Linked DNA regions of Rattus norvegicus. The protein of the gene in region 1 interacts with the protein of each later gene in a pairwise test. Links are inferred from orthologs where the notes say so. Each region holds a gene or a part of one and is shown in the gene's direction. Other genes may lie near its edges.

The links.
Region 2: the proteins of Esrrg (region 1) and Pnrc2 interact in binary tests that used the Homo sapiens proteins (3 or more experiments, as listed by UniProt). The link is inferred for Rattus norvegicus from reciprocal best matches to the Homo sapiens genes ESRRG and PNRC2.
Region 3: the proteins of Esrrg (region 1) and Deup1 interact in binary tests that used the Homo sapiens proteins (3 or more experiments, as listed by UniProt). The two-hybrid records come from large-scale screens. The link is inferred for Rattus norvegicus from reciprocal best matches to the Homo sapiens genes ESRRG and DEUP1.
Region 4: the proteins of Esrrg (region 1) and Nr0b1 interact in binary tests that used the Homo sapiens proteins (3 or more experiments, as listed by UniProt). The link is inferred for Rattus norvegicus from reciprocal best matches to the Homo sapiens genes ESRRG and NR0B1.

The regions. Positions count from the first base shown.
Region 1 is NC_086031.1:102,136,216-102,143,367, forward strand, and holds part of Esrrg (estrogen-related receptor gamma), read left to right. Parts: intron 1-3,508; coding exon 3,509-3,924; intron 3,925-7,152. UniProt on the Homo sapiens protein: Orphan receptor that acts as a transcription activator in the absence of bound ligand. Binds specifically to an estrogen response element and activates reporter genes controlled by estrogen response elements.
Region 2 is NC_086023.1:153,386,135-153,394,049, reverse strand, and holds Pnrc2 (proline-rich nuclear receptor coactivator 2), read left to right. Parts: upstream 1-3,543; 5' UTR 3,544-3,691; intron 3,692-4,375; 5' UTR 4,376-4,580; intron 4,581-5,007; 5' UTR 5,008-5,025; coding exon 5,026-5,430; 3' UTR 5,431-6,528; downstream 6,529-7,915. UniProt on the Homo sapiens protein: Involved in nonsense-mediated mRNA decay (NMD) by acting as a bridge between the mRNA decapping complex and the NMD machinery. May act by targeting the NMD machinery to the P-body and recruiting the decapping machinery to aberrant mRNAs.
Region 3 is NC_086026.1:20,658,904-20,665,954, reverse strand, and holds the end of Deup1 (deuterosome assembly protein 1), read left to right. Parts: coding exon 1-89; exon of another isoform or gene 90-95; intron 96-3,436; coding exon 3,437-3,613; 3' UTR 3,614-4,268; downstream 4,269-7,051. UniProt on the Homo sapiens protein: Key structural component of the deuterosome, a structure that promotes de novo centriole amplification in multiciliated cells.
Region 4 is NC_086039.1:54,705,008-54,712,956, forward strand, and holds Nr0b1 (nuclear receptor subfamily 0 group B member 1), read left to right. Parts: upstream 1-2,650; 5' UTR 2,651-2,657; coding exon 2,658-3,831; intron 3,832-6,180; coding exon 6,181-6,425; 3' UTR 6,426-6,779; downstream 6,780-7,949. UniProt on the Homo sapiens protein: Nuclear receptor that lacks a DNA-binding domain and acts as a corepressor that inhibits the transcriptional activity of other nuclear receptors through heterodimeric interactions.

The DNA.
Region 1 (7,152 bases):
CACACACACACACACACATATATATATATATATATATATATATATATATATATATATATATGGCATCTGTCTGTCTGCCTATCTATCTGGCATCTATCCATCTGTTTGTCTGTCTATCATCTATCACAGTATGTATGTATGTATGTATGTATATATCTATCTATCATCTATCCATTTTCTATTTATCATTTATCACATGTATGTATGCATGAATGTATTTGTCTGTCATCTATAACATGTATGTATGTATTTATGCATATGTCTGTCTGTCTGTCTATCGTTTTGATACAGAGTCTCTCACTAGCATGGAATCGGGCCGGTGGACTAGGCTTCTAGCTGTCCAGGCCGAAGCATCCCCTGTTTTTGTCTCCCCAGTCCTGAGATTACAAGTGCATGCCCAGGACTTATTTTTTAATGTGGATTCTGGGATTGAATTCAGACAGCATTGTCTTTCTAGGCCTTGTATTTTCTGTTCTGAGATTGCATCGTAGTTTACATATACTGGCCTTAAATTCACAGTTTGTAGGCAAGACAAGCCTTAAGCTTGTGGTCCCCTCTTCTCAATCTTGCTAGCACATAGGGTGACAAGCATGTGTCCTCAGGCCCAGGTACGTATGGTTTAAAGACTTTTAAACTAAAAATAATTACGTGGATATGGTAGGAGGTTGTATGCACATGAGGCTAGAAGACCTGGAGGATCCCTTGGAGGCAGAGAGGCACGCAGTCATGAGTTGAGGGTTGTGGGAACCAAACTCATGTACTTCTGCAAGAGCAGTACATGCCCCTAACAACGGAGCCATCTCTCTAGCCCTCAGTCTTGTTATAGACCATAAGCAAGCAGTATTCACAGCTCTGTTGGCTTCCATACAGTTTTGCTCCAAGGCTTGGAGTGAGACTTGAGTTCAGACGCCACTTTTCCAGTTCCTGGTTATGTAATCTTCATTATACTTCAAAACAGCTGATGAGTGACATGAGTGACAACCTTCTTCATACTTCCAGTAGACAGACGTCATTAATTAAGGGTACAGTTTATGTTGGAAAAGAACCGCACATAACCTACAGCACACACCCAGTTTATTCACTCTCACTGGTGGCTAGAGTGACCAGACCCCATTTAGAAGATCCTGTCTCCATTCCGGGGGACCTCCTTGGCAGCAACACCCCTCAACTCCCTGTTAGCATCCAGGTTACTATAAAGTATGGACCGAGACTTTCAAAAAGACAGCTCGCTAAACTGTCCTCATTTTTCATGGATAGGTCTGAACAATGTGTCATTGACATGTACACAATGGTGACTTAGCAAATTGCTACCCTGTTGGTTTCTGGCCTGGTTCCTTAATCTCATCATCTACAAAGTTTAGAAGCCCAGGGGGAGAAAAAGTCCACAGGGAACAAGTATTGAGATGACTGATTACTAAGTTTATAGAGAAAGGGAGAGGGATGCCTGAAGAAAGGTGGTAAGTTTTGTGACCAGGAAGTTCAATCAGTGTCCCACTGGGGTACTGGACAGGGGCACCAGAAAAAAGGAAAATACTAGGTTGGGAGTCAGGCAGGCAGTGGAAGAGTTAATTGTTAAAGCTTGAGAAAAGAAGGAGAGGGAGACCATCTATGGTTTAGTAACCAATAACTTCTAACCAGTAGCCCAAGATCATAGTGTATGGAAAGGCAGTCCAGTAATAAGTGAACTGCCAATGTAATAGTTTTAAATTAAAAGGAAGTCGGGTTGCAGGGCTGCTGTAAGTCAAGCCGACCTGCTTTCTTTCCAACACTGACTTGAGGAGAACGCCTAGCCCACAGTGCAGGCATGGGGACGAGGAGAAAGGTCTATTAATTACAGTGCTCATTAGCAATGTCAGGGACAAGCAGACGCAGGGGGAGAGGATGCCGCAGCCAGGACTGGCAAGGGGGATCACTTTTTTCCTTTCCCTAGCTTTTGGGGAAGGGACAGTACCAGTGGATAGGTGAAGGCAAGGAGGTCTTTGGGTGGCTTTCTCCCTCTTTCCACACATGGCCATTGGCTTGAGTTCAGGAAGAAGAGAAGTGCTGGACAGGGAAAGATACTTGAGGTAGAGGTAAAGTCCTACCTGCCCTTGCGCTTTGTTTTTGAAAGTGTCCACTTGGAAGAGCCACGCAGAGATTTCTGATAGGAAATCCCATAGTACCATCAATGGGGGAGGGAGACGCGGAGGAGAGCATGAAATTTGTTCGGTGATAAGGCATCATTTGATTTATAGTGAAAGTGATAATTGCATTCATTCGCTTATACTGTGACTACTCCCCCAAATTCCAGAGAATGACCATCATGCACAGTGGGCTCCCGATAAATCAACTTTCCACTGGGAAGCAATTATCTGAGTCCCCTTCTCAACTGTCACCTTTTCATAGTAGCATCTAGGGTTCTTAGAGGCTTGGCTAAGAGGAGCTTTACACCGTAGTGAGGCAGAAAGCCAAGAGGACCAATTATGTCTTTACGTCTAATTACCTGTATAGAAGTCTACCCACTTATGGGGCCAATGGAGAGAGAGGGGGGATGATGTGGTTCTTCTAGGTTAGAGAAATAGTTTGTCAGATTAGGTACCTCGTCTCAGAGCCTTGCATAAGGTTATGGGGTTTTTATGCTCTTAAGGGGGAGTCAAGGAGAGGCCCATCATAAATCTAATTTTTCTAAAATGAGGAGAGTCTTTCCGATGCTACAGCTCAGAATGTCTCCGATTTCCTGACTCACAGGTACCGTGCAGTCTAGGTGGAATTACTGAGTCATCTTTCAACACCTCTCTCCCTCTCCCTCTCCATCTCCCTTTCCTTCCACTCTCCCTCTCCCTGTCTCTGTCTCTCTGTCTCTGTCTTTCTCTCTCTCTTGCATGCACGTGGGCGAGTGTACACACACACACACACACACACACACACACACACACAGATGCACACACACACAGATTATACATTAATCCATTATATCAATCTCCCACTATGCTTTGTGAGCTGGTTCTCACAGGACATCCTTATGGAGCCTGACAATACCTGCTCTGGCTGGAAAAGAAACATTGGATCCTTTTTATTGTAAAATGAACACAGCGTCATGATGTGGAGTGGAATATAGAGTGGAGATAAATGCAATTTGAGGGAAGACAAGGACTTTGCAAATCACCACTGCTTTGTTGATAAATTCAGGATCCGGAAAGCCAGGGTAGCACTGACAGTGGTTCAAGAGAAAGATAAAATAAAAGCAACTGGACCCTTTAGAGCCTTTGTTTATGGCCTGTCTGGGAGCTTTGATGTAACCCTGCCATGCCCTTATGCTGATTACCTTCTTGTAGAACAAGAGATATTGACTGGAGAGTGAATGATGGGTAGTCCCAGCCCTTAGGAAGCTCTCTTAAACAGCAATGCCTTTAACATACCAATATTCTGCTCTCCTTCCTCTCTGCCATGTCTTTGCGTCTACATTGTTGGGACTCAGTTTGACAGTCTCTCTCTCTTCTCTCTCTCTCTGTTTCCCCCTCACTTTCAGGCTTCTCTGCAGAATGTCAAACAAAGATCGACACATTGATTCCAGCTGTTCGTCCTTCATCAAGACGGAACCCTCCAGCCCAGCCTCCCTGACGGACAGCGTCAACCACCACAGCCCTGGTGGATCTTCCGACGCCAGTGGGAGTTACAGTTCAACCATGAATGGCCATCAGAACGGACTGGACTCGCCACCTCTCTACCCCTCTGCTCCTATCCTGGGAGGCAGCGGTCCTGTCCGGAAACTGTATGATGACTGCTCCAGCACCATCGTAGAGGATCCCCAGACCAAGTGTGAATATATGCTCAACTCCATGCCCAAGAGACTGTGCTTAGTGTGTGGCGACATCGCCTCTGGGTATCACTATGGGGTTGCCTCATGTGAAGCCTGCAAGGCTTTCTTCAAGAGGACAATTCAAGGTGAGTGCCACCTCACTCTACTCTATTTCTTTTCTCTGGGACTCATTCTCCTATTTCATATCATGCATACTAATAATTCTATTTTGTGTAGAAAACATAAATATATGGAGGATGCATATAATAATCCCTCCCCAGCTGCTCACCCTGTGCCTTCCTGTTCCACTACAGAGCTCTTTGTAGTCAATGATGATGAGGACATTTCAGAGAGCATAGTAGGTCTGAAGAACAGCTGAGCAGCGTGTAGTAGGTTCACCGTCCATACATTTCTCACAGATGTTAGGAAGTGATAAAATTTAAACTAATGTTTCTCTAACCTGCTCATGTTTTAAAGCCCCTTGGCAATCTCACCAACACGTGGATTACTGTTTCCTTTCTCCAGAATTTCTGGTTCATTAGACCTGTGGTGGTCCCTGAGAACTTACATCCTGCAAAAACAGCCAAGGATGTTGATCCTGGCAGTCCAGGGGTGGCCATTTAAGAAACACCACTCTCGATATATTTATCATGAACTCAACATCTTTTCCTTGTATCTGGGTATATGTTTCCAATGTTTCTGAATGAACTTCTGCAAAAATTGTACCAAGGAAATTGCATTTAAGTACAAAACATACCCCAAACAAATACCAGGGATGCATAGCCACACCTTAACAAATTTGTAGATTTAGAAATAACGTGATTACTTCCTGTGCAAAATGTTGAATGATTGAAATTTTATCTTCTCCTATAAACCAGTCATATACAAATATAGAACCCAGCTTAAACCAGTCATATACAACTATAGAACCCAGCTTAAACCAGTCATATACAACTATAGAACCCAGCTTAAACCAGTCATATACAACTATAGAACCCAGCTTAAACCAGTCATATACAACTATAGAACCCAGCTTAAACCAGTCATATACAACTATAGAACCCAGCTTAAACCAGTCATATACAACTATAGAACCCAGCTTAAACCAGTCATATACAACTATAGAACCCAGCTTAAACCAATCATATACAACTATAGAACCCAGCTTAAACCAGTCATATACAAATATAGAACCCAGCTTAAACCAGTCATATACAAATATAGAACCCATATCTATTTGGGCAGAAGCACACTAGTTATTCTGCTCATGCTGCATACACACACACACACACACACACACACACACACACACACACACATACACACACGCACGCACGCGCACACACACATAAAGATAAATTTATATGTCTATATATTTTATCTATCTATATCTATCTCTACCTCTATCTATCTATCTATCTATCTATCTATCTATCTATCTATCTATCTATCTATCTATCTATCTATCTATCGAGACCAGACAGACAGATATAGGCAGGGAGACAGACACATAGATGATAGACATGTCTATGTTGGAATTGAACTCAAGGTCTTTTGTATGTGCTCTGCCATTGGGCAACACCTATAGCCCCTAATTTACATATGTTCAATAGCCAGTCTTATACACAGAATCTAACTTCTTATATATCCATACTTCTCAAGCTTTTCTGATTATTGGGAATTTCCAGGAAACAATATTTTTAAATATTTCTTCCAGGGCTTGAGCCCCTAGTATCTGTAGAATTGGTATTGGGTATGGCCAGGAAAGGAGGAATTTTTGGTAGCTTCCTAGGTCATCTTTAATGTAGAGTTAAGGTGACAAATCAGTGCCCTAGGCTGTGTTAATATACCAGTGGTCCTCAGAGTGCGATGACTGTGTCAGAACTGTCAGCATCACCAAGAAATGTTTTAGCTATGCAAACCTCCTTGTAAGATAACCCAATGAGAGTCTCTGGTGCAAGCCTGGAACTCTAGGGTTCACAAAGACACCTAGGTGTGGAGGTTGGGGAATGTTACCCTGAATCATATTGATGTTGATTTACCAATGGCATCCTACCATACATCTGATGCTTTTTGTGGAATAGAAGTAAAGTCAAATTATTCAGACCCTTGTTGGTCATAATACTTTGGTTTCTAAGGTATATAAGAGGTATAGCTTGCTCAGCACTAATACTTCTGACATATTTTAATAAACAGTGACTTTAGAGTATCTTACTTGCATGTGGAGTAACTTCCCTACCCTTGCTTTCTGTTGTGTTCGGCCCTGAGTGCTGCAGATGGAAGATAGCTTCATACGTGCTCAGTCCATGCTAAAAGCATGCTACCCTGTTGGACCATAACCCCTTTCATCTGTATTCTTTCTTACAGTGTCTTCATCATGGCTGAGAGCACAGGGTTTACAGACAGCACACAAATATGGTGGCCGAGTGTGAGGCTCATTTCTAGTTCGTGCTTCCCATGGCTGAAAGTCATTGGGCAGTTTTTACAGAGCATGTGCCATTCAAGAGGGAGACACTTTCAGAACTTTGAGAAAGCATGCACTGTGCAAGGCACCATAGCTGTTATAGTATGAAGCAGATATTTCATAGACTCTTGTGGCTTGAAGAGAAATCAATCCAAGTTTGTGTAGTGGATTTACAAACTCATTAACCACCGAAGGCTGCATCTTCCCATTTTCTCAGTCAAAAGACCTGCTTTATTTTTTTTCTTATCAAAATCCTCCAGCCCTTGGGTTATCTTTTAAACACCCATACCTAGTACCATACTGGGGACAATGCTTAAGGAAAGATGAAATACAAAGTCCCAGTAAAGGTTGAAGATGTGGCTCAGTGACCCAGCATGGACTTAGCATGGACAAGTCCCTAGATTCAATTTCTTTTACCACTGCCAGGGACAACAGTAAAGGTATTCCTTAGGGTATTTGCACCAAATACATTTTCATCCCATTGACTGACAATTGCAAAAACAAAGGAAAAAAACCACCTTAAATCTTTGATTTGTTTTAGCAGTCATTGGCCAACATCGCTATACTCTCAGGATTGCAGAGTATATAAAATCCAAATTGCTAGTAATTTCTGCTAAATTTGGATAGCTTTTGACTTGCCATGAGGATAAATGTTTTGGGATGCATGAACAAGTACAGGTTAGGCTGATACAAGTTGTAGGCTCTCGAGGTATAAAGCAGGACCATTTACCAACAAATATTTCCAGAGCCTTCATGATCTGGTCAGTGTGCTGGCCAGAATTTCATCTTCTCAACGTTTTCTGGAAATCCTATTGGGTCTAAGTGAATTCTTCCTATACAAGTCCTTTGGCTTATTAGGGCACCGACTTCTTGGCGTAGTGATGAGGATTAGGCTGCTCTTCAGTCCTCT
Region 2 (7,915 bases), on another chromosome or scaffold:
AGATCTGTGGCTGAACTAGTGACACACTGGACTCCGCTGGATTGAAACATTCATGGGCCCATCCCCCAGGTTTGCGAACGTGGGTGTTAATGGGTAGCTCAGATGGCAATGTTCTTTAAGGTTTTGCTGGCTGAACCCCTCCCTCCCTGAACATCACGAGAGCAGTGGGAGTTTCCCACGGACTTCCTGTGCTTCCTCCGTTTGGTAATTAGAATCAGGTGACTGTCACGGCTGGCAATAGACTCGAAAGTTCTCCGGAATGCGTGAACGTGTAGAAACCAGCCCCAGATGCTTCCTTCCCCAGGAAACAAATGCATGGGGTGAGGAAGTCGGTGTGGGGCTTCGTACCAGTTTGGAAACACTTTGAGAACCCTGAAGCATAAACCGTACCTCAGGGCCCATTGCTCGATTCTTAACCTTTCTTTCTTCCTTTCTTCCTTTCTTCCTTTCTTTCTTTCTTTCTTTCTTTCTTTTTTTGGCAGGCAGTATAGATTCTGTGTTTCTAAACTGAAGCAAGCCGTCAGCTTAGCAGGCCTGCAGACATTCAAACTGACCCCAAATTTGCAACCAAGTTTAAAGAAGAAAGAACAAACTAAGTTTAAGTGGCCAGCTCTGCAAGTCAGTAGACTAGAGATTTGTATAGATGTGCCCCACAGGGTGACTGTGCCAACCCCCCTGGCCCTCCAGAGTCTAAACTATTAATAGACTCTGGTGTCACTTGCCTTCCGTCTTTCTACTTCTATTTAGATTAGGCAAGAGAATATTCACAAAACAAGCACACACGCTCACGTGCGCGCACACACACACCTTTCTCTCTCTCTGTATGTGTGTGTTGGGGCCTGTATGGGACACACGTGCCGGTTGAGGCCGGAAGTTGACATGGACATCCTCCTCCTTGGCTCTTTATTTCTTCATTTATTGCATGTGCATGTGTATGCTGTGATATGTCGTGGATTTCAGAGGAGAAGTTGTAGGAGTCTGTTCTCTCCTCCTACTTCGTAGGTCCCAGAACTCCAGTTGGTAGGGGACTCTAGGGGAGTCTCTAGGGGAGAGAGGCTGGAGTGGCTTGACCTGCTAATGGAGCTCACCAGACTCACCATTTTTGTGATTGTTTTGGACTAACAATCACACTAAGCCTGGCTGGCCCTTAACTCAGAGATTCACCTGCTTCCACCTCCCAAGGGCTGGAGTGAAGAGAATCATTACTGTGTCCTTCATTTTGTTTTTTGAGATGTTCCCTAACTGAATTTGGGCTATAGATTATGCACCTCCCACAGCAGTTACCAACTTCTGTGAGCCCAGAAGTTCTGAACTCAGATTCTCAAATATATCACAGCAAACACCTGACCACTGACTCCAGCCCCTGCCTCTTTTTAATTAATGTATAATTAAAAGCCTTCTGTGGACAAACCTTCAAGCTGTACCTTCTTAGCAGTGATAGGTTCTAATTCCCTTGCAATGAGCAGGTTGTTCATGTCTGGAGAAAACATGGACAAGCTTCCCCAAATCTCAGCTCCCCTGTCTCACAAATTGGAAAGGGCTTTTCCTCTTTTTGGATCCAGATAAGGCTTCATTTACTTGTGTACTTATGGTGTGGCAGAGGGTCAAGCCCCAAAGCAGGCACTAGATAAAGTTTGGCAAAATGAATGTTTTAAATTAAATATGCACTAGCTATGGTGGTGGATGCCTTTAGTCCCAGGACTAGGGAGGAAGAGGCAGCCAGATCTCTAAGCCCGACTTCAAGACTGGCCAAGGCTCCACGGTGAAACCCGTCTTAAAAACAAACAAAAAAATGCTGGTGCAGTTATTAGCTCTTTGTCCTCGAGCTGAACTGAGATTTGCATCCTCAGGAGGCTTTGTGTCAGCATTTTCCTATCTATTTTGTTTTGTTATTTGAGACAGGGTTTCTCTGTGTAGCCCTGGTTGACCGGAGATGCATTCGGCTGACCTGGGATGCATTCTGGAGAGCAGGCTGCCCTTGAACTCAAGAGGGTAGAGATAGCGGCCATCTGTAAGGCCTTACCGAGGATGTGTTGCCCTCTTTTGGCCTCCCAGGGCACTGCAAGCATACGACATACAAACAAAACAGTCACACAAACAAAAGGGAATCAGGCACGAAATGGGTGATCAGATATCCTGAAGAAGGAATTATTTTTCACATACAGTTCAGAGTTGGGAGTTCTTGTGGGCTGATAGCTATTAATGAGCTAGAACAGTGCTAAGACATGGTGAAAGCCAGAACCATGCTCTCCCAAGGCAGCCCGTGACCTTGTTGGAGAGAGCAGATTCAGGCAGATGGCAGGACATGGGCTTCATGGCACTCAAAACTTCTGGCAATGTTGGGAACAATGTCCTCTAGGTCAAACACCTTTTAGGTACACAGAAGACACAAACATCGTAGGGTACATGAACTCTAAGGCTCTTGAATCTCACTGTAGCTTCTCGCTTAGAAGTGTATATTGCCTCAATATCTTGGAAATCAGAATAGCAGCTTGCCCTAAAAATTGCCAAGAGAATGAAATGAGACGATGTAAGTCTAGTACAAGATAAGGGGCAGAGAAAGCACTCATGATGCACGTGGGCAGGCTTGCAAAATTCGGGGGGCCAGCTTAATTCTGGATGGCAATGACTGTATAGATGTATATGTGTATATATATATTCACGTGTGTGTGTGCGTGTGTGTGTATGTGATTTTGCATCACAATTTGGAGCCAATGAAATGCTTTTGTTTCATTGAGATGTGGGGTTTGCTATAAAGTCCAAACTGATCTCAAAATTGAGAGGCTGGGATTACAGGCCTGAATGGGGTAAGACACCTGGCACATTTGCCCCCCAAAATTATTCATAGAAATTAGCGTTCACCTTTGAATGTTGACATTTCATATATACTTTTGCTTTTTTTTTAAAAAAGCCGATATCTCTCCTTTTCCTGAACCTTGCTGTCATTCTTGAGCTGTATCTTTCTTTTCTCTAGTTTTTCCATTTTCTGAACAAGACCAAAAAAATGTGTAAGGGACCAGCCAGTGCTGTGTATAGAAAAAGCAGGCCCTGATGGTAGTGACTGTCTCAGGTACTGAAGAAAAGTGAAATTAGATCAGAGGGGACGCGAAAAAGGAAGATGGTCATGTGCAGAATGCTTGCCGGGCTCTGGGTGGGGTGACCATGACCCATGGCAGCTTCTGGGGCGGCCCAGTGACTGCAGGACAGAAAGGGGCAGGAACAAACACAGGGCGCTGCGCAGGGGTCTGGTCAAGGAAGTAAAACACCGGCTCGGCGTCCACAGAGGCCAACAGAAGAGCAGCTGCCCTCGCCAGCCCGCGGGGGAGGACCCGCAGCGCGGCTCCCGAAGCTGGGCAGTTATTCCCGACATGCTCCTCCCGCAGGATTTCAAACCACGACAACAGCCATCCCTCACTTCCTCCGGCCCGCCCCAGCAACAGGCGGCGGCCGGCATCTCATTGGCTGCGGCACGCGCTGCTGCGTCCTCATTGGCTGCACAGTCTCCGATCCTCTTCCGCGCTTGCAGCAGCCTCCATTTTGTCGGTAAAGGCAGTAGGAGGTTGGTCCAAGAAGAAGTTGTGATCTGGGACTCGCTCGTGGGCTGTTTGGTCCGTGCATCGTTTCTCCCTGGAGAGGGAAGGAGGCTTGGAGGTCGAGAGAGAGCCGCCGCCGCCGCCCGAACTCGAAGTCGGTGAGTGTGGCGGGGTCGGCCATGTTGGCCACAGCGGGCACCATTGTTGGGCCTGGCTGAAGAGGAAGCAAGGCCGGGCGGGCGCGACTTCCCGGGAGCTGAGCCGCCGGCGGGCTGAGGCGGCGAGCTTGCAGGTTCGCTGTGTGGGCGACTGGGAATGCGGACCGTCCGACTTAATAAAATTGGAGGCCTTCTTAGCCTTGTGCGGGTGTTTGCTAATTTGACTAATTAGAACATTGAGAGAAACCATTCACTTTAGAGAGAGACGTGATGTTTAAAAAAAAAATGTAAGCTTATTATGGCTTCTGAAAAATTATGGTACCACTACCGGAGTCAAGCGAAAGCACGATGCACATTGCTGGGAAAAGAACCTTGGTGTGGAAATAGCAGTGTGGGTTGAAATGAAAGCGTTAAATATGGATGGAACTTTAAAAGCACGGTCCCTAGTTTCCTGGTGTGGCCACAGAAGCGAACGCTTCCTTAGTTTTACTTTAAAACAAGAGGAGTTGCTAAGTCTTCCCAAAAGTTCCCAAGAGTTGAAAGCTGACAATGAGGTCAAAGAAAGTCGTGGTTTCTCTCATACAATCATTGAAGTTTTGAGGAAGCGGCAACAGCCATTTCTAAAGACTGTCTACGCGATCACTTTGTGGGGTTGTTTTCAAGTAATTATCTTTCCTTTTCTAGCTACGACTTCTCTCAAACTTGTGTGCTGAGGAGACTCGATGTGGGCCTCAGCTCCTAGGCTGAAATCAGCAGATTGGCTCATGAAAACTTGTGTATTGAGACAAAGGAAAGGATCTAGCAGAAAGCAACGTCTCTTATTCTGGGCTTGGCAGCAAGGAAGAGGCCAAGTAGTGGAAATTCTGCAATCTGAAAAGCAGACTGAAAGGTATAATAATGACTCGCATCATAGTGGGGCCACTTATTTTACAATGGAAGCAATTCTAAACTATTAAGGTCAGCGGCCATGCACGGTGCTGGGGCACTATTACGTGCCTGTAACTCCAGTACTCCTCTTAAGTTTGGGGCAAGACTGCTTCAAGTCGGAGGCCAGTCTGGTACAGGAGGCCTCTCCAGAAACGGGTTCATTTGGGTGTGTGAGGTTATCAGGTTGTACAAAGAATGAATAGGTTGCTTCAATTGTTTTTCTTATTTTGATTTCACAAACTGGTTTTTGGCTCAGGACTTTAGTCTCTTGAGGTAGATGGTTTTGCAGGGGAGCCTGTCTAATCCTACCTTGTCATATTTTCAACTGGAGCTACGGAAACGTCAAAGGGGACATGTGGAATTTAACTGATGTTTACATGTATTTACAGGTGACAAAGAAGCTGAAGATGGGTGGTGGAGAGAGGTATAACATTCCAGACCCTCAATCTAGAAATGCTAGCAAGAACCAACAACAGCACAATAGACAGAAGACCAAGGATCAGAATTCCCAGATGAAGATCGTTCATAAGAAAAAGGAAAGAGGACATGGGTACAATCCATCGGCAGTGCAAAATGGGGGAAAAACCAAGAGCCTTTCCAACAACTCCAACTGGAATGCTAGCTTATCAAGTCCTAGCTTGCTTTTTAAGTCTCAAGCTAGTCAGAACTATGCTGGAGCCAAATTTAGTGAACCACCATCACCAAGTGTTCTCCCCAAGCCACCAAGCCACTGGGTTCATGTTTCCTTGAACCCTTCAGATAAGGAAACGATGACATTTCAACTTAAAACCTTACTTAAAGTACAGGTATAAAATTAGATTAAGTACTGATTTTAAATTTTTTGATGTTTACACATAGCCAAAAGGTTTGACATTTTGTGAAAAACTAGTAATTTACAAGTATAAGCATTCACTTATGTGCTGTATATACACTATACTGTTATAGTGTCAATGCAATTTAAACAATTTAAGTGACTAATCAATTCTACTTGGTAGTATTGCTAACTAAATTCAAGTTTAGATTTGAGAAACAGTAAATAACCTTAGCTTTTGTATTGATTGATACTAATATTCATGGGTTGGTACACAATTTCTGAAGAAATCAGGCAGCAAGCAGTTTCATGGTCTAGGGTCACCCAAACTCTCTTGGGCATTTTTTAGGAAATGGCTGAAGTTCCGCTGTGGTCAGCGTGTAAAGGGCAGGCAGAGCTCCTTAAATGCAGTGGGCAGGCATTTACCTAGAGATGTATGTACCAAACCCTTTCCAAAAACAGAGAATGCTGGATAACCTTTTCTATACAACAGCATCCCACAAAGCTGCTAAGGGATCCAGCCTCACCTATACAAAGCTTGCTTGAAATAGGGAGTTGTGTTCATGACATTTAAGCCATGTATATACATGTAATAATAAGCTTGTAACATAATGTTTTCTTGGCCTTTATTCTACAAAATAAGACTATTTTTAGTATGAATTTGCTGAATGTATGACCATGAACTGTTTTGAAAAATCTTATGGCCTAATTTTAAAGGTCTCCAGTTTTTAAAAGGTTGCCCTTATGCTTAAAGTGCCAGTGAATCAATGTAAGTGATATGCTAGTGAACTACACAAAGTCAATCTGTTGTATTAGGTTTTTTATAGCTGAAAAGATTTAAGCTATATGAGATTTTAATAAACCCAAAGACTCATTTTGACTTTATCAATCCTAGGTAACCCGATTAATGTGCAACCCTTCCATTTATGTAAAAGTTTCTTATATAATTAGACCAAATAGCAAATTAGTTTTCTCAGTTAAGTTCAGAGCAGATAGAAGTCCAAATCAAACACTTGAGTATCCATCCTAAGGGAAAAGTTAAAAAAATTATGATCTGACTTTGAAAAGTGAAATTGATAAATAAACTTTCTCCCCAGTATATTGTTTTATGTAAGTGATTTATAGCTGTCTACTTGGGATGACTGTGATGCTGCTACTTTGCTGTTTCTTTTAAGACAGGTTTCTCTAGCTTGAATGTCAGATTGACAGTGTGCACAGCCCTGCCCAACTATAATTCCTTTGTGCTAATAGGGAAAAACTAATGCAAACTTATGTAGGAACATATGAGTTACACAGCCTCGTTTAGAGCAAGGGCTTTAGAGTCCTCGTCTCAAAACCAAAGTGTATTTTAGCTTTTGCATACTTGCTTTCTAGTGGCTAGACTTCCCACTCAGGGGCAACTTAAACAATCCCACCTTGCAGACTCTGCTTTCTCATGCAACCTGCAGAGAGAATGTATTCTCTCAAAGCTCCAGTGTAACTCTGTGATAACAGCCAATGTAAAGTTCTTTTTTTTTTTTCCTTTGTGCCTCTGCTTATACATTTTTATGTATGCATTAGCATGCAGCATATGCCTGAATTTCTAGTTTGGGACTAAGATGCTTACTGACTTTATTAGACACTAAAGCATAGCTCAAAGAATAAAAAAAGCAGCCATGACTGGCCGCAGGGTGGCACACCTTTAACCCCAGCCTGGTCTACAAAGCAAGTTCCAGGACAACCAGGGCTATTGACATATTTACAGAGAAACCCTGCCTCCCATGGGAGTGTGGGAAGTACTCAGGCTGAATTAGCCTTCAAATTAATACAGTTGCATGAGCTTCTAGACGAATATTCCTGCCAAAGCTGTATAACGTATAGCAGAACCCACTAGAGAGTAGGCTTCTATGTATTTTGGTGATAGTGTGCTACATGATAGACTGAAGTTACCTTAGATCTATTAAGCATGAGGATTTCAGATGGTTCTAAACTGCACAGCTTCCCATGCTGTCCCCCATAGGCAATGACTCTTAAGGAATACATCTCTAAAACCTCAGAAACAAATGTCTAGTTGGGTAGTTATACCTGTAAGGTACAACAAAGTCTACAGAAAAAGCAAGATTTTTTTGAAAAGTGCCTAGACCAGTTTATTTTACTCTCCAACATTCAAAGAAATGTGATCTGCAAAAACAAAACCTGGATTACAAAGACCTTTTACTTCTTTACAAACTACTTTCTAAAAATTTACATGCCTCAAGTTTTTATTCCCCCCCCACTGCACACACAAAAAAAAAACACCCCCCAACAACAAAAAACCAAGAACTACAGTTTTAACACAGGGTGAATGGTGAACCAGCTTTACAAATACACAAACATTAATAACTAACAGGATTGGAGGGACAGGAAAACACTCAAGAGTCTTCTGCAACAATGGATTGGGTATCTTGATGAAGCTAGCTAACAGTTGAAGACAAGTCATTTAACCTCTGATTCCTGGCTATTTTTGA
Region 3 (7,051 bases), on another chromosome or scaffold:
ACAGAAGCCCAACACCCTTGTCGCCTTTGCCATTTCAGACCAAAGAAATGACAAGTCCATTGGCTGGTGACAATGAAGTCCTCCCTCTGGTGAGTCCCTAGAAGCTGATTTTCTCCTTAAAGGTGGATTATTTAATACCGAGTCTAATATAGAGAAGGACAGCTAGATTAAAATGTCACTTCCTTTTGTTTTGGTTGTAGCTGTTTTGAGGCAGGGTCTCATACAGTCCTCTCACGACTCTCGATCTAGACCAGGCCCATCTGAGAGATCCACTTGCCTCTGCCTCTAGCGTGCTGGGATTAGAGGTGCAGCACCATTTCTGACCTAAGACTACAGATCATTTGACCACACCCATCTCAAACAGAAGGAGGATCTGATGCCCCATCATGAATCAATGGCTATACCTTTTAGGTTTTTGTTTGTTTTTAGTTTTTAGAGACAGGATCTCACTCTAGCTGAGACGAGAATTCAGCTTTTAGCACAGGCTCACTTTAAACTGAAGCAGTCCTCCCAAGTCAGGTTCTCAAGTGTTCGAGTGACAGGAATGAGGCAGCAAACCCAGATAGGTTTTAACATAGAGTAGCATGTAGGTCATTCACAGAGCAACAAAGTAACTCCTAATCCTCTGAGGTTGGAGAGTGTTGTTGTAAAATTATAAAAATGGCTGTCTTTTACCCCCACTCGATCCAGCACCGCAGTGCCCCATGATATCTGGTAGATATCTTGCCAGAAACACACATCCCAACTCCGTGGCGGCCCAGCATCTCTGCCGCCACACACTCTCCCAAAGTCAAATCGCCACAAGGAAGAACACACAACACAGTAACCTCTGATCCAATTGATGAGATATAATTGCCCACCGAAACATACAGAGCCCTGTACACATCCATCCCTTAAGAACATTCATAACAGGGGTGGGGATTTAGCTCAGTGGTGAGCGCTTGCCTAGCAAGGGCAAGGTCCTGGGTTCGGTCCCCAGCTCCGAAAAAAAGAAAAAAAAAAGAACATTCATAACAACCTGTGAAGGTACAGCGTGGAATCTTAACATCCGCCTCCATGTTCTCTCGGTGCCTTCCCCTCCCTTCTCCATTCTCCCAGCCTTTCCATCCCAGTCTCCTCCTCTTCCCTCAAACTTTTCTCCCGCCCATCCTTCCTTCTCGTCCAATGACAGGCCTCCTTCTATCTTGTACCCGCCTCACCTGTGACATCATCCCACAGGAGGGGTTAGCCAGGAATGTAGGCCACTTTCAGTGCAGAGAAAACCCTCCCTCTCCACAGCGTGAGGGACCCTGTGAGGTCTAGAAGGCACAGGGAGACTGCTTTGTGTTTTTCACGGGTGGCACATCTGGGCTCAGGTGACCTGAGAATCAACAGACACTTCCTAAGGAGCTCTCAGTTTGAGAGCCACTCTGCTATTGCATCCATATGTAATCTCCTGTGTGGTTGCCAAGGACTTAAGATGGGACATGCAAGGCGCTCTGTGTCCTCCTGGGCTCAGCAGCAAGGGAGGGAGTAACCTTTGCAGAGCGTGCAGGCTTCTGCTACAGGGGGCACAACCACGTTCTGGTCTTAAATTTCTGCAACACGGCCTTCCCCCTGAGGCTTATAAAATGTACAAGGCATTCTGTCCAATGAAGATTTTTCTAGAACAGGATTTACCACTCACCTCTCCTCAGGGGCAACATTTCTAACCTATCCTGAACCCACTATGGAACCCCCTTTGTTCAGACTTCTGTGCTGCCCAGTGATAGCAGCATGTTGTTTTGTGTTCAATAACACAGAACTTTGGTGCATGCCAACTTGTACTCAACATGTATATCCCTGTCTGCCCCACCCAACCTAAAAACATGCCAAGCCCCTGGGTCTTTGTGGGGCTCTGTTTCACTCTCTGGAATGTGCATATTGTCAAGCCTTGGATTCATGGGCTTCACTAACCTGATGTTATTCCACAGGGATGGTCTTTGCCCTGGACAGAGTGCGTTTGCCCTGCTCAGGGTGTTTGCCCTGCTCAGGGTGTTTGCAGACCCTGCTTGTTCCAGGCTGTTTGTTCAGATTTGGGTGGGGAGGCTGCACCCATTGCAGAGGTACAACCCAGAGGTTGGGATTTAACACTTGGATAAAAGTTCAGGACTCTGCGTCGCCTGCTCTGATCACAAGTTTTTATGTATTGCTGAACTAAGCCTTCTAACCAGGTTCACTTCCATAAAGCTTCCTTCTTCCTAACAAACAAGAGCAAGGGATAGTAAAAGCAGCCCGGTGCAGTCGTGCATGCCTGCAAACTAGCTAGCACTATTAGGGTAAAACCAGGATGACCAGGAACTCAAGGTCATCCTCTGCTACATGGCAAGCCTGGGCTACATAAAACACTGCCTCGAAGATTAGTGAAGAGGAAGAAGGATAGATAAAAGAACTGGGAACTTAAAATATAATTTTAAAATAATTTTCTATTTTTTAATAAAACTAACATTGTCTTTTATTCCATAACATTTTCCCTCTTATTTAAATATACACCAAACACATCACAAGCTGTGAAATGTCCCACATCTCCCAGCCAGGTATAATGGACATCACTCAGATTTCTTCCTCTAAGCCTGGCTTGTAAGGGAGGACCAAAGATCAGTCCCATACATACACACACACACACACAGACACAGACACAGACACACACACACACACACACACACACACACACCCTTACACACCACTACACACCCTATACATCCCTACACACACACTTACACACCACTACACACCCTACACATCCCTATACACACACACACCCTTACACACCACTACACACCCTACACATCCCTACACACACACACACACACCCTTACACACCACTACACACCCTACACATCCCTACACACACACACCCTTACACACCACTACACACCCTACACACACACCCTTACACACCACTACACACCCTACACACACACACACACACACACACACACACACACACACACACACACAGAGGCAGGCAGCCACCTCACCAGGATACCCTCAGCCAGCCTCCTCCCTACACCACTGCAACTCCCCTAGGCGTTCAGCCCTCTCACCCAGCCTAGCCTGATTTCCATTTCTGCATGAGCCACCTTTATGCAATCTGCCTGATCTTCACCTCAGACTGAGCTGATTACTGGCTTGTGAGTCAACAAAGTGTGTTCTGCTCAGGATCCCTGGTACTTACATCCACCCTGGAACAGCAGCTGTCACTGCAGTTTCCTCTCTAGGGCTCTTTAATGGGTTGGTGCTGAGATGTCTCAAATCCTTGAGGGTTTCATTAGCAAGGACGAGGTTACAAGAGGAGGAGGGCTCTGCCCAAAACCCAGTGTTTCACTAGGCCGCAGAGTTGACTGTCAGAGAGGTGCATGTCTACGGTTGTAAAGCCTCTGCATCGGTCCAGCCTCACTCTCCCTCCTCTCTCCAGTCTCCACCAGATATATCCTTCCGGGCTTCCCTAGCTGCGCAGCACTTCCTCATGGAAGAAGAGAAGCGGGCCAAGGAGCTTGAGAAGCTGCTCAACACACACATCGATGAGCTCCAGAGACACACCGAGTTCACGCTTAACAAATACACCAAACTCAAACAGAGTAGACACATATGAGTTGTGCACCTCTTCTGTTTGCTTCCTCTCCATGAGGAAAAAAAAAGCTTCCGAGAAACCCTTGCAAAGCGGACCCATAGAACCAAGCAACCTAGTTTAGTCTCCACGAGTAAATCACTTCTATGAGGCCACTATAAAATAGGGTTTTGTTCCATCAAGCTGCTTCTGTTTCTGCATTTCACACACTAATTGTTCTGTTAGGATAGATAAGCATGACTAGCCCCGAAGGGTTTCTTTCCTGTCTAAGGAATGGTTTGGGATTAAAATGGAATTACTTCTGACTTTAATCATGTATGCTAAGGCCCCATTTCCTGTGTAACAGGCAGCAAGAGGGGCAAGTGCTCAACTCCAAATGTGAGGAAGCTGGGTGCAGGCACTGGGCTGGGCACAGACGCAGGGGCTTCTAAGGTGAAAGGGCGATGCAGACACCTAAGAGTTGTTTCCGAAGCAAACGGATAGGATATGCCTTTGCCACTTTTACATTCTCTTTTGTAGTACGCTGTCCTAATACCAAAGACTTCGAAAGTGCAGTGTGCACAGTAAAAGTCACTGTGCCAGAGAGCCATGCTGCCACTGACAAGTGCCAGGCACCATGCTGCCTCTGTCCCCTTGTAATCACCACTGTTTGTAATACAATAAATAATGCAAAATTCAACTGCTTTGCAAGTGTCCAGTGTCTGCAGAAGTCATATCAAGAAAATGAACAATGAGATTCACATAACAGATACACAGGATGGTGACCTGATACCCCTGTCTTTAATGATGGAATAAACACACAGACACATGCTATAATGTGCACATATGACCCCCGCCACATACACTCCACATATCAGCACCATTGACACTTAAGCATTTGATATCAGCAAAACCAATATCTTAGGGGTTGGCATGGTGCCTCAGTGAAAAGGAGGGCTTGCTGTGCAATCATGAGGACCTGAGTTCAGATCCAGGCAAGCATGTGAAGAGACAGGACGTGGCCATACATAACTGTAGGCCTCACGCTATGGGGGGCAGAGATGGGGAAACCAGTGGGGCTTGTGACTGCCGACCTAGCGTCAGCTTCAAAGAGAGAGCCCGTCTCAAGGAAGGAATGTGAAGAGCGACAGGGCAGGACGTCGCTCTCTGGCCTCTGCATGTACCCACAGGTAAGCACACATTCAAATGCACACATTTGAGAACCAGTAAAAAATAAAAGTATCCTGTAGTAAGCAGGATAGAAGGTAACACCTGGATTTCTGACTCTTGGCTCTCATTACAACAGCACTTCCTGTAAGCAGGCAGATGATCGATAAAGATATATTCAAACCATCAGAAGAATTCCATGTTGCCGATGTCCCCACAAAAGCCCCTTGTGAGGAAAACCATAGGACTTTGTGGTATCTTATGCTGTGGACTAGTTTCTAGGAGGGGAACAATGAAAATAAAAGCCCACTTGAAGCCTTGAGGTTGATCCTGCACTGCGGTGAATTTGTTTTACTACTTGTATTATGTTAATTAGGTTTCTGAAATTACACGGAAATTCACATGTCTGCCTGCCGGATGCTGAGGGTCATTGTCCCCAGTTGGGCTTTGATTGGTAAAAAAAGTTGATGGCAGCCAATGGCTGGGCAGTAGACAGAGGCAGGACTTTTAGGATTCCCAGGCAAGAAACGGAGGAGGAGGAAGGCACCATGCATGGGGTTGGTGGTGGGTAAGTGGGGGTGGGGGGCTTCCAGGCCTAAGAAGTTAGGCCCGGGAGACAAAGAGACTGCCAACACGTAAGAGTCAGAGCCCAGGAAGGCTATAGGCCTAGATCCAAGGTAGCAAAAATGGAATATAGATTTTAGTAATCCAGGAATACCATAGGAGAGGTGTTAGCAATGTGGAAGTTTGGGAGAAGACCAGCCATTGAGTTGTTTGTGTTAAAAATAGAAGGCTCTGTGTGTGTGTGTGTGTGTGTGTGTGTGTGTGTGTGTGTGTGTGTGTGTGTATGATTCTTTAAGAATCCAGAGCACTGGGGTGGGTAACAAGGAACATGCACGCTGCCAGGGAGAGTACAGTGGATTACTTAACTACAGCAACACTGCACTGCAGCATAAAAATAGAAAAGACGGAAACTCCGACGACTGGAGAGAGGACTCAGGACTTAAGAGCACTGGCTGCTCTTCCAAAGGTCCTGAGCTAAATCCCCAGCAACCATGTGGTGGCTTATGATGCCCTCTTATATCAAGCAGGCACATGCAAATAGAGCACTCATATAAGTAAATAAATACATTTAAAAAAGGGAAGGCTGAAATCCCAAGCAAATAGAGAAAAAAGCTTGTGTTTCCCTTAGAAGATGGAAGAAAGAGTTTCTTTACAATGAGGCCTCTGGCTAGACCACCCCAAAACCAAGAAATGGTTAGAATTCACGTTTCCTAAGCCCTGGACTACTTGAGTCTCTACAAGGGTCCTCATAGATGAACCTTGTTGGCCGAAATCAAGGTCTCTAGGATACAGCATTCTTAGACCTTGGAGGAAGGACAGGGAAGAGTGTGTCCTAAGGACCAGCTGCCTTCATGGACGAGCTTATCAATTCATGAGCAGACTTGCTTTAAGTTGCCCCTTCAGCACTCCACCTGATATCAGCTTTCAGTTTCCAGTTTGTTGCTTTTTCTTAGGAAGAGGAAAAAAGGTAATAAAATAATTGATGGGGCTGGCAAGATGGCTCAGCAGGTAGAGTATTTTCTGCACAAGTCTGACAGCCAGAATTTAATTCCTCGAACCACAGAAGGTGGACGGAGCGAGCAGACTCCACGATGGCGTCCTCTGACCTCCCCAGGCCAGCTGTGACATGTGCAAACCTGTATGCACACACAGACAAGAGATACTTCTTTAAAAAAAAAAATTAAGCTTCTCACTCATCCAGTCAATTTGTGGTATTTTCAAGTGTGATGACCTGCTGTCTTAGTCTATTTATGCCACTGTAGCAAAATACCTCAGCTCAGATAACTTGTAAACAGTAGTCTGCTGTTCACAGCCCTAGAGGCACAGAGGCGCCCTGGGGGACTGTTAGGAGAGGTTGAGGGGAGAGATCAAGGTTCTGTTTCTCTCTCTCAGCAAGGAATGCCAAAGATTGACAGCAAACCACAGGCCACTAGGAAGGACGCCAGACCCCAGACTCTTCTTCACACCATGCAGTAGGAGCCCGGTCAACACCTTGATTTCAGACTTTCAGCCTCCAGACCCATGGCACAGTGTATTCCGGCTGTCTGAGCCACTGCTCTGTGATACGCTGTTAGGATGGTTCCAGCAACTCAAGGCCCTCCCATATCAAGATCTGGAAAAGCAGTCAAAGTAGCAAACCAAAAAGCCTAGGCAAAATCACTCTCTCTCCAGGAAAAGAAGAAAACACTAATCCAGTCAGAAATCACAGCAGCTGAGGCTTTGATAGGCCATCCACGATGAGAGTCAGGACAT
Region 4 (7,949 bases), on another chromosome or scaffold:
TTGAGCCAATGGGTAGGGACAGAGTGATAGATACCTTGAACCTAAGCGACTTTGATACAGATTAGGGAAGATTAATAACTATCATATAACTCGGTAAACATCAACAGGAGTTGAGAAGAAGACAAAATTATAACCACCAATAGGACCTTAAGGTGGGGGACTTTGGTAGACTGTTTTTCAGCTAGACTGCTAGTTTGGCTAAGAAGAAAGATTGTTAAGCAAGGAGAATAAACCTAATGAATGCAGTAGCTGAAAATTCAAAGTGGCAAATAGTGGAATGGACAGTGAGCTAACGCCCTCTATGAATTCTTGTTGAAGATCATACAATCTGTCTGGGAGTTTGAATCTAGAAATGCAGACATACAGAATAAGTAGAACATATGCTTGAGCAGAGCATGGGGCTGAGTTTCAGCAAGAGAGACAGCTTTATTATAATGCTTTTCAGAATTACTTCTTGGCCCTCAATTGATCCCTTGTCCTACAAACAAAACTTGTTATGTTTAATATTCGTCTATTTTAAACACATTAACTTGTGTATAAGAACTATATCCCAGATATTACTGTTCACTTTTCCACACAGCGAAAGCTGAGAAATAGATGCATTAAATAACTTTCCAATGCTTGGAGAATGTGTTCTCAAGGATGGGCAGGTCCCAGTCCTCAGAAGGATTTATTTATTTAAAAAGTTTTGCAGATATGATTAGATTTGGAATTTTGAGATGTTGATATCATTCTGGACTATCTAGGTGGATCTAACATATTCACAAGCTTGCGTAAAAAATCAGAGGAGATGGAAACAGAAGTTGGACTAATGTGTCCAAGAGCCAAGGAATGCAGGTAGTTTCTAGAAGGTAGAAGAGGCAAGGAAATGGATGTTTCCTTAGAACTACCTGGCATGAATGGTACTTTGAGTTCAGATTTCTGGCTTCTCAAACTGTCATATAATAAATTTCTATTATTTGTGTTGCCATAAACCACTACATTTGTAATTTTATAGCAACAATAAGAAATATGTTTCCCAAGGTTATGGAACTGCAAAATAACAGAACCAGGATTCAAATGGAATTCATCTGGTGCCACAGTAAGGAATTAAACCTTTGTGCCATAGAGGTCAGCACAGGCAGAATACAAATTAACTGCTGAATACTCTGCCCTACATGAGACATCATTATCAACCCTCCAAGACTTGGGGTGCATCGTATAAGAGATGCAAAGGGAATGTAGGAGAAGAATAATATGAAACTCTGTTTTCTGGACATTATACAACCATTGCAATCTTGAACACATAACAGCTATGGCTACCCAAACAAGACAAATATTAAAATAAATAAATAAATAAATAAATAAATAAATAAATAAATAAATAAATAAACAAACCTATGGAAGTAGGAGGGACACTGTCAGCAAGTATGTATAAAATTTTTAAAACAATAAAACGATAAAAAAAAACTGAGGGTATCCCCAATTTTCTTACACTTCAGTAGTTCCTACAGAATTGGATAGCGGAGGTAGAAGAGGAAGAGGGAGAACGGGACAGAGAGGGGTGTCCCATATCAATTAGTGTGTTCCGGTCCCCTTTCCTGTTCTGTAAGAGCAACGGCTTGTACTCTCAAAGTTATGGGGCTAGTGGGTATAAGAATTGGCTAGTCGTACAAAAGTCACATAGTTGAATAGAAAGAGCCCCCTGGTCTCTTGTTTGAGTGAGACTAAAGGTGGGAAGCTCCGTGACAAATGCTAGCATTTAGGCTTTCTGATTCTTGTATTTGTTGTTAGTATCTTACAATGGTTGGGAACAGGGACAGTTATCACTGACCTGCTTCTACAAGAGTATGAGAAGTTCTCACAGTAACAATCTTGTGATTAGTCTGTTCCTAGGAGTCAGCTACAAGTACATAATGTTTGCAGCCCCCAGCTCTTTGATCCAGCATCTAGGACAAAGCGGGTGATTGCTCGAATTAAACTGAAGATGTATTATTACCTGCTTCTGCCAATGCTTTTCAAATGTAAGGTGCATATGTGTAACCTGGGGGTGAATTATTTTACAACTCACACTCAGATATTTTGGCTAGCGCTCAAAAGAAGGCATTTCTGCCTCCGGGTGTAATTCTGACTCTACGTGTCTGGGGTCTACACTTTTCAACATCTTAAGAAATGAGAACACACTCAGCAAACATTATACAAAACGCAAGTTATAAAAATTGTGATCATTCTATAAAAGTTTATAAAGATGTCACAGAAATGGGCTATTTCTCCCGTTTAAGCACGTCTTTCTCCAGAAAAGGAAATAAGTTAGAGGTCGGAGTCCTCTGTCGGAGTCCAACTGCAAGAGTTGGAACAGAGCCCTAACTCCCTGCCTGAGGTTCGCTGCTCTCCTCTTTCCCAGGTAGGGGAAGGAGTAACCAGAAGAGTAACCAGACAGAAGGGGGGCGGTATGCCAGTTCCTGTGCTGAGACGCTCCCCTTAGATTTCCAGATCCTAGGGAGTGTTTGCCCCTTTGAACTTCCGAGGTCATGGCCACACACATTCAAGCGCAACAGCGCGTCCCCCTCTGCGCCCTTGTCCTAGCGGAGGAGGCGGATGCGCTTGCGTGAGCGTTCAGTATAAATAAGTCCCAAGCGGCGGCCACTGGGCAGAACGGGTTGCAGGAGCCTCAGGCCATGGCGGGTGAGGACCACCCGTGGCAGGGCAGCATCCTCTACAATCTGTTGATGAGCGCGAAGCAGAAGCACGGGTCTAGGGAAGAGCGAGAGGTGCGCTTGGGGGCTCAGTGCTGGGGTTGCGCCTGCGGTACTCAGCCCGTCCTGGGTGGGGAGGGACTGCCCGGCGGGCAAGCCTTGTCCCTTCTGTACCGCTGCTGCTTTTGTGGGGAGAACCACCCGCGCCAGGGTGGCATCCTCTACTCTATGCTCACCAACGCCAGGCAGCCTAGCGGGGCGACCGAGGCGCCCAGGGCGCGATTCAGAGCTCCTTGCTGGGGCTGCGCCTGCAGCAGCGCAGAGCCCCTGGTGGGCAGAGAGGGGCTGCCAGCTGGCCAGGTCCCCTCGCTCCTGTACCGCTGCTGCTTCTGCGGAGAAGAGCACCCGAGGCAGGGCAGCATCTTATACAGCTTGCTCACTAGTGCCCAGCAAACGCACGTGTCTCGGGAAGTACCCGAGGCACATCGCGGAGGCGAGTGGTGGCAGCTGTCCTACTGTACCCAGAGTGTGGGTGGCCCGGAGGGGCTTCAGAGCACACAGGCCATGGCGTTCCTGTACCGTAGCTATGTGTGCGGTGAAGAGCAGCCCCAGCAGAGCAGCGTTGCCTCCGACACGCCCGTGAGAGCAGATCAAACACCAGCAGCTCCGCAAGAGCAGCCGAGGGCCCCCTGGTGGGACGCCTCCTCTGGTGTGCAGCGTCCGATTGCACTCAAGGATCCACAGGTGGTGTGCGAGGCAGCGTCGGCTGGCCTATTGAAGACCCTGCGCTTTGTCAAGTACTTGCCTTGCTTCCAGATCCTGCCCTTAGATCAGCAGCTGGTGCTGGTGCGGAGCTGTTGGGCGCCCCTACTCATGCTTGAGTTGGCCCAAGATCACCTGCACTTCGAGATGATGGAGATTTCCGAGCCCAACCTGATGCACGAAATGCTCACCACCAGGCGGCAGGAGACCGAAGGCCCAGAGCCCGCAGATCCCCAGGCCACAGAGCAGCCACAGACGGTGTCTGCGGAGGCTGGGCACGTGCTCTCAGTCGCTGCGGTCCAGGCCATCAAGAGTTTCTTTTTTAAGTGCTGGAGTCTGAACATTGACACCAAAGAGTACGCCTATCTGAAGGGGACCGTGCTTTTTAACCCAGGTAAGCATGACAAATTTGTACACTGTCTCTTCAGGTCAGAAAAGCACCACCTCTACACGCAAGCATTTATGAGTTTTCAGTGGCTATAGGAATTTTGGAGTCCACGTTACTTGTGACTGACTCTGAAAAGCTGATGCATACATCTGGAATGGCCAGTCAAGTGGTCAAGTGGGTGAGCTTCTGCCAGAAACTTGGCACTGGGGGTGGTGGTGGTGTAGGGGTGTGTGTGTGTGTGTGTGTGTGTGTGTGTGTGTGTGTGTGTGAACAGTAAGCTCTCTACGTTTATTATCTGCTGCTACAGAAGTTTCTGCCTTCATGGGACATGACTGACTCTTCTCTCTTTAGCCGTCCTTTAAATCCAGTGACATAACTTTTAAAAAGCTTTTGCTCATTTCACACAGCTCTTCCTACATCCCCATTTTCCAAATTTGCCAATTAAAGGGCTCCTGATGTGTGCTGCAGGGGATAGGGTATGTTAAGTTTTCCCCAGCTCCTCCCCTTAAGAGTCATTAGTTCAGCCCAGCCCAGATCCTGCAAGTCCGAATCCTCAAGTGGCTCAGGTGATATCTGAGGTCATCTGAGAAACAGTTTCTCTTTCAGCCAATGCTATTAATCCTGCTCTGCTGAGATTCAAAGTCGAGACCAAGGTCTCAGCCTTCAGAAGTCTGTATTTCCAGTAGTTCGCCACTTGCCTTGACCCTGTTTCACATCCTTTGTCACCCTTCACCACTCTTCCCGTCTCTCTCCATCCCTCTCTTATTCTTCCTCTATTCTTTTCCCCAGTACTCTCTCCATAGGAGTTTATCCCACCAGATTGTATGCTTTTAAAGAGTAATGCACCCACATTTGTGTACAATTCAAGGTCTGTAAAGCATGTGGTCTCTTTCCTGATTACCCTTTTGCATTCTCTTGTCTTTATGTTTAAAGCCTTACAGTTGACAAAGACACAGAGCTTTAAAATTATATATAAACATATCAATGGGTTTTAACATAAGGGCATAAGAAAAAGTAAGGAGATATGTAAACTGTGGAGTCCTTTTCTCTTTTGCCCTTACATGGAAGGGACATTTTGTGTGGGTGGAAGGGAACAAGTAGGGGAGAGGGGCAGGGAGATGCTCGGAGGAGTTGGAAATGAGGACCAACCAAAACAGTATGAATGAGAACTCCATAAGGAAAACTCTTAGTTTGTATCTTAGAAAGAATTTTTAATGCAAGAGTTAAAAATAGGTACCTTAAGGAAAGGGCCAGAGGCTGTGGTGTGAAAAGTAATGTGTATCTGGCTTAAGAAAGCTTTCGACAAGAGCCATCTCTATGTAGACCTAGAGAGACTATCAATACACACAATCAAATAGGTATCCAAACTTGACTGCCAGGGTATAGAGTGGAGGATGTTGATGCTGTCTTAATTAGAAATATAATCGAGATAAGAAGCATTGCTTGATTTTGTTGTTTTCTTTATAAGCTATATTTGCTCATAGTAGATTCCTACTTATTTTCTGTCACCGTTATTTTCGCCATGATTATTTTTAAACATGATTTTTAAGTACTCTCCTTGAATTTTGTAAAAGAAGTAAGAAAGATGATGTCATCATTTAAACCAAATCTGTTTCAAAGTTGCTTCTGACTGATCTTTCACTCTGTGATATTTTCATCTTTTAACCTTTGAATGCTATTAAAAGCATGCTTTAAAAAAAAGGGGGGGGAGATTCTTCTGCCAGTGTTTTTCTCCAAAAGAACCCTTTGAAACATTCATTAGAATCATAATTTTTAGAACTTCCTACAATCTGGAAATCATGGTCCAGTGAGGAGCATCAGTAATCTTTAGCATCAGAGTCACTATGGCCCCTAGTGTAATGTCAGCCTGCAGTTCAATAATCCTAAACACACGAGTCAGAGTTTATGGCTGTAAACTTTACAATCTAAAGACTGGACAGTCCACATAATTGTAGGAAAGAAGGGCAATGTAATTGTAACCTGGTATATTATCAAATGGTATAATTCTCACAGGTATATTTCTCTTGAAATAACATCAATTTCTTTATATTTTCACAGAACATGCCCTGGTGTGCTGGGAGGCATCGATTATAGTCTATTGACATAAAACTGAATGCGTCAGTGTTTGTGCACACTGCAGTGTCTTTGCACATGCCTACTGCATATCCGCTAGAAATTAGTGCATGTTTTTATCCTTAGAAGTGTTGCCTCTGAAAACTTAGAACTCATTTCAGTACCTCCCTCTTGCCCCCAGAAAGCCCTTTAAATCAAGAAGCTAGCGTACTTTTTAATTGGAAAGGGACCAAATAAAAAAAATGAGTATGGTCTAAAATAGATTTTTTTTTCTACTTCCAGACCTGCCTGGCCTGCAGTGCGTGAAATACATCGAGAGTCTTCAGTGGAGAACTCAGCAGATCCTCACTGAGCACATCAGGCTGATGCAAAGAGAGTACCAGATCAGATCGGCTGAACTGAATAGTGCCCTTTTCCTGCTGAGATTCATCAACACCGATGTTGTCACTGAACTCTTTTTCAGGCCCATCATTGGTGCCGTCAGCATGGATGATATGATGCTGGAGATGCTCTGTGCAAAGCTGTGAAGGCATGCAGCCACTCAAGTGCATTTTACTACACATGGAGAAAGGGGGGGCTGTAGGCAGAAGAGTGCTCAAATTTGTGAAAACAAACTTTCTTGTATTTTTACATGCATAGTATATTTGTATCCAATTGAAGAAATACTTTAGTTACAGACAATGTAAAAACCCCTCTGCTCCATACTGGTTCCTTGTGAAGAAAAGCATTTGTTAACAAATAATTATTTCCATAGATCTTTAAGAGTGTTATACTATGCTAACAAGCTAATTTCCACAAAAATAACATCTCTTTCCATTAACCCTGCCAAATAAAATTTATAATATTAACTTTTAATAAAATTTAATGTACTAACCATTAAACGGACTGGAGAGTTTTCTTGGGGTTTACAGCTTCCAAAAATTCAAACATAGCTAACATAACTGAAGGTACACTCATAAGTAACTTCATGGGATTTAATGCCATCGTATATCAGTGCCAATGGAAGGTTATTTTGCCTGGTTTTACTAGTTCCATTACTGTATAAAAGATTGTCCTTATTCCTGCCTGCAACTCAAAAGGCAGTTGATGTTCTGAGAGTGAAAAAATATTTCCAGAGTTTGAATTTGGAATTTTTCTGTAGACCGTTGTGGATTTGAACTAAAGTTTCATCACAAATCAACATACTGTCACGGGTGCATTATCATTTCAGAAAAGTTCAATATGACCATAAAACAAGCTAAATAGGACTCATCTTTTAGGTACACAGTTTAGGTAACTGTCAAATTAAACAATCCTGACATGTGAATTGCCTCGTGCAGCCCCTTTAAATACAATCCATGAAAATTTTCTTTCTTGTTGTGAGATAAAATTAAAGCTATCCAGGTCCATTCATTTAGAAGAAACACATTGCCTATTGAGTAATAATCAGTTACTCTAGTTCAGTGTAGTAATTATTTGTCCATGGTGTTACCCTGTAGGGCTCGCCTAAATGTATGTAACCCAGGTTGACCTCCAGCTCATACAATTATTCCTGCCTACCCTCCCTAGAGCTGGGACTAGAGGTGCATGCTACTGTGTCCAGTTCAATGGAGTCTTAAACATCTTTTTGTGAAGATCTCCTTAGCAGCCTGGTGAATCTTGTTGGCAACTTGTCAGGTTCAGTCACTCAGAGTAATGTGACAAATAACTTAGAAATTCAAAGAGAATAATTCTCCCCAAGAACAATATTAACATTTAAATACAATAGCATTTTGCACGTGGTATAAAATACACATGCTTATTATCAACACATTAAGTAAGAAATTGGTAGTAGGTTTGACTGACTTAATTTTAAAGCAGCTGTTAGGGTAATTGCAATTTCCTCATCTCTAAATTTCTAATGTTATAAGAAAATATCTCATGTGGTCCAGCACATAGTTATTTCAGTGATAAAGATTATTAAAACAATAATAATAATGACATATATCTTGGTTAAGAGGGGAAAGGGCCATATGCAGACTGTGGGAGAATTCACAAGAAGACACCTCTTTGCTCCCCCCCTCCCAGGAAGC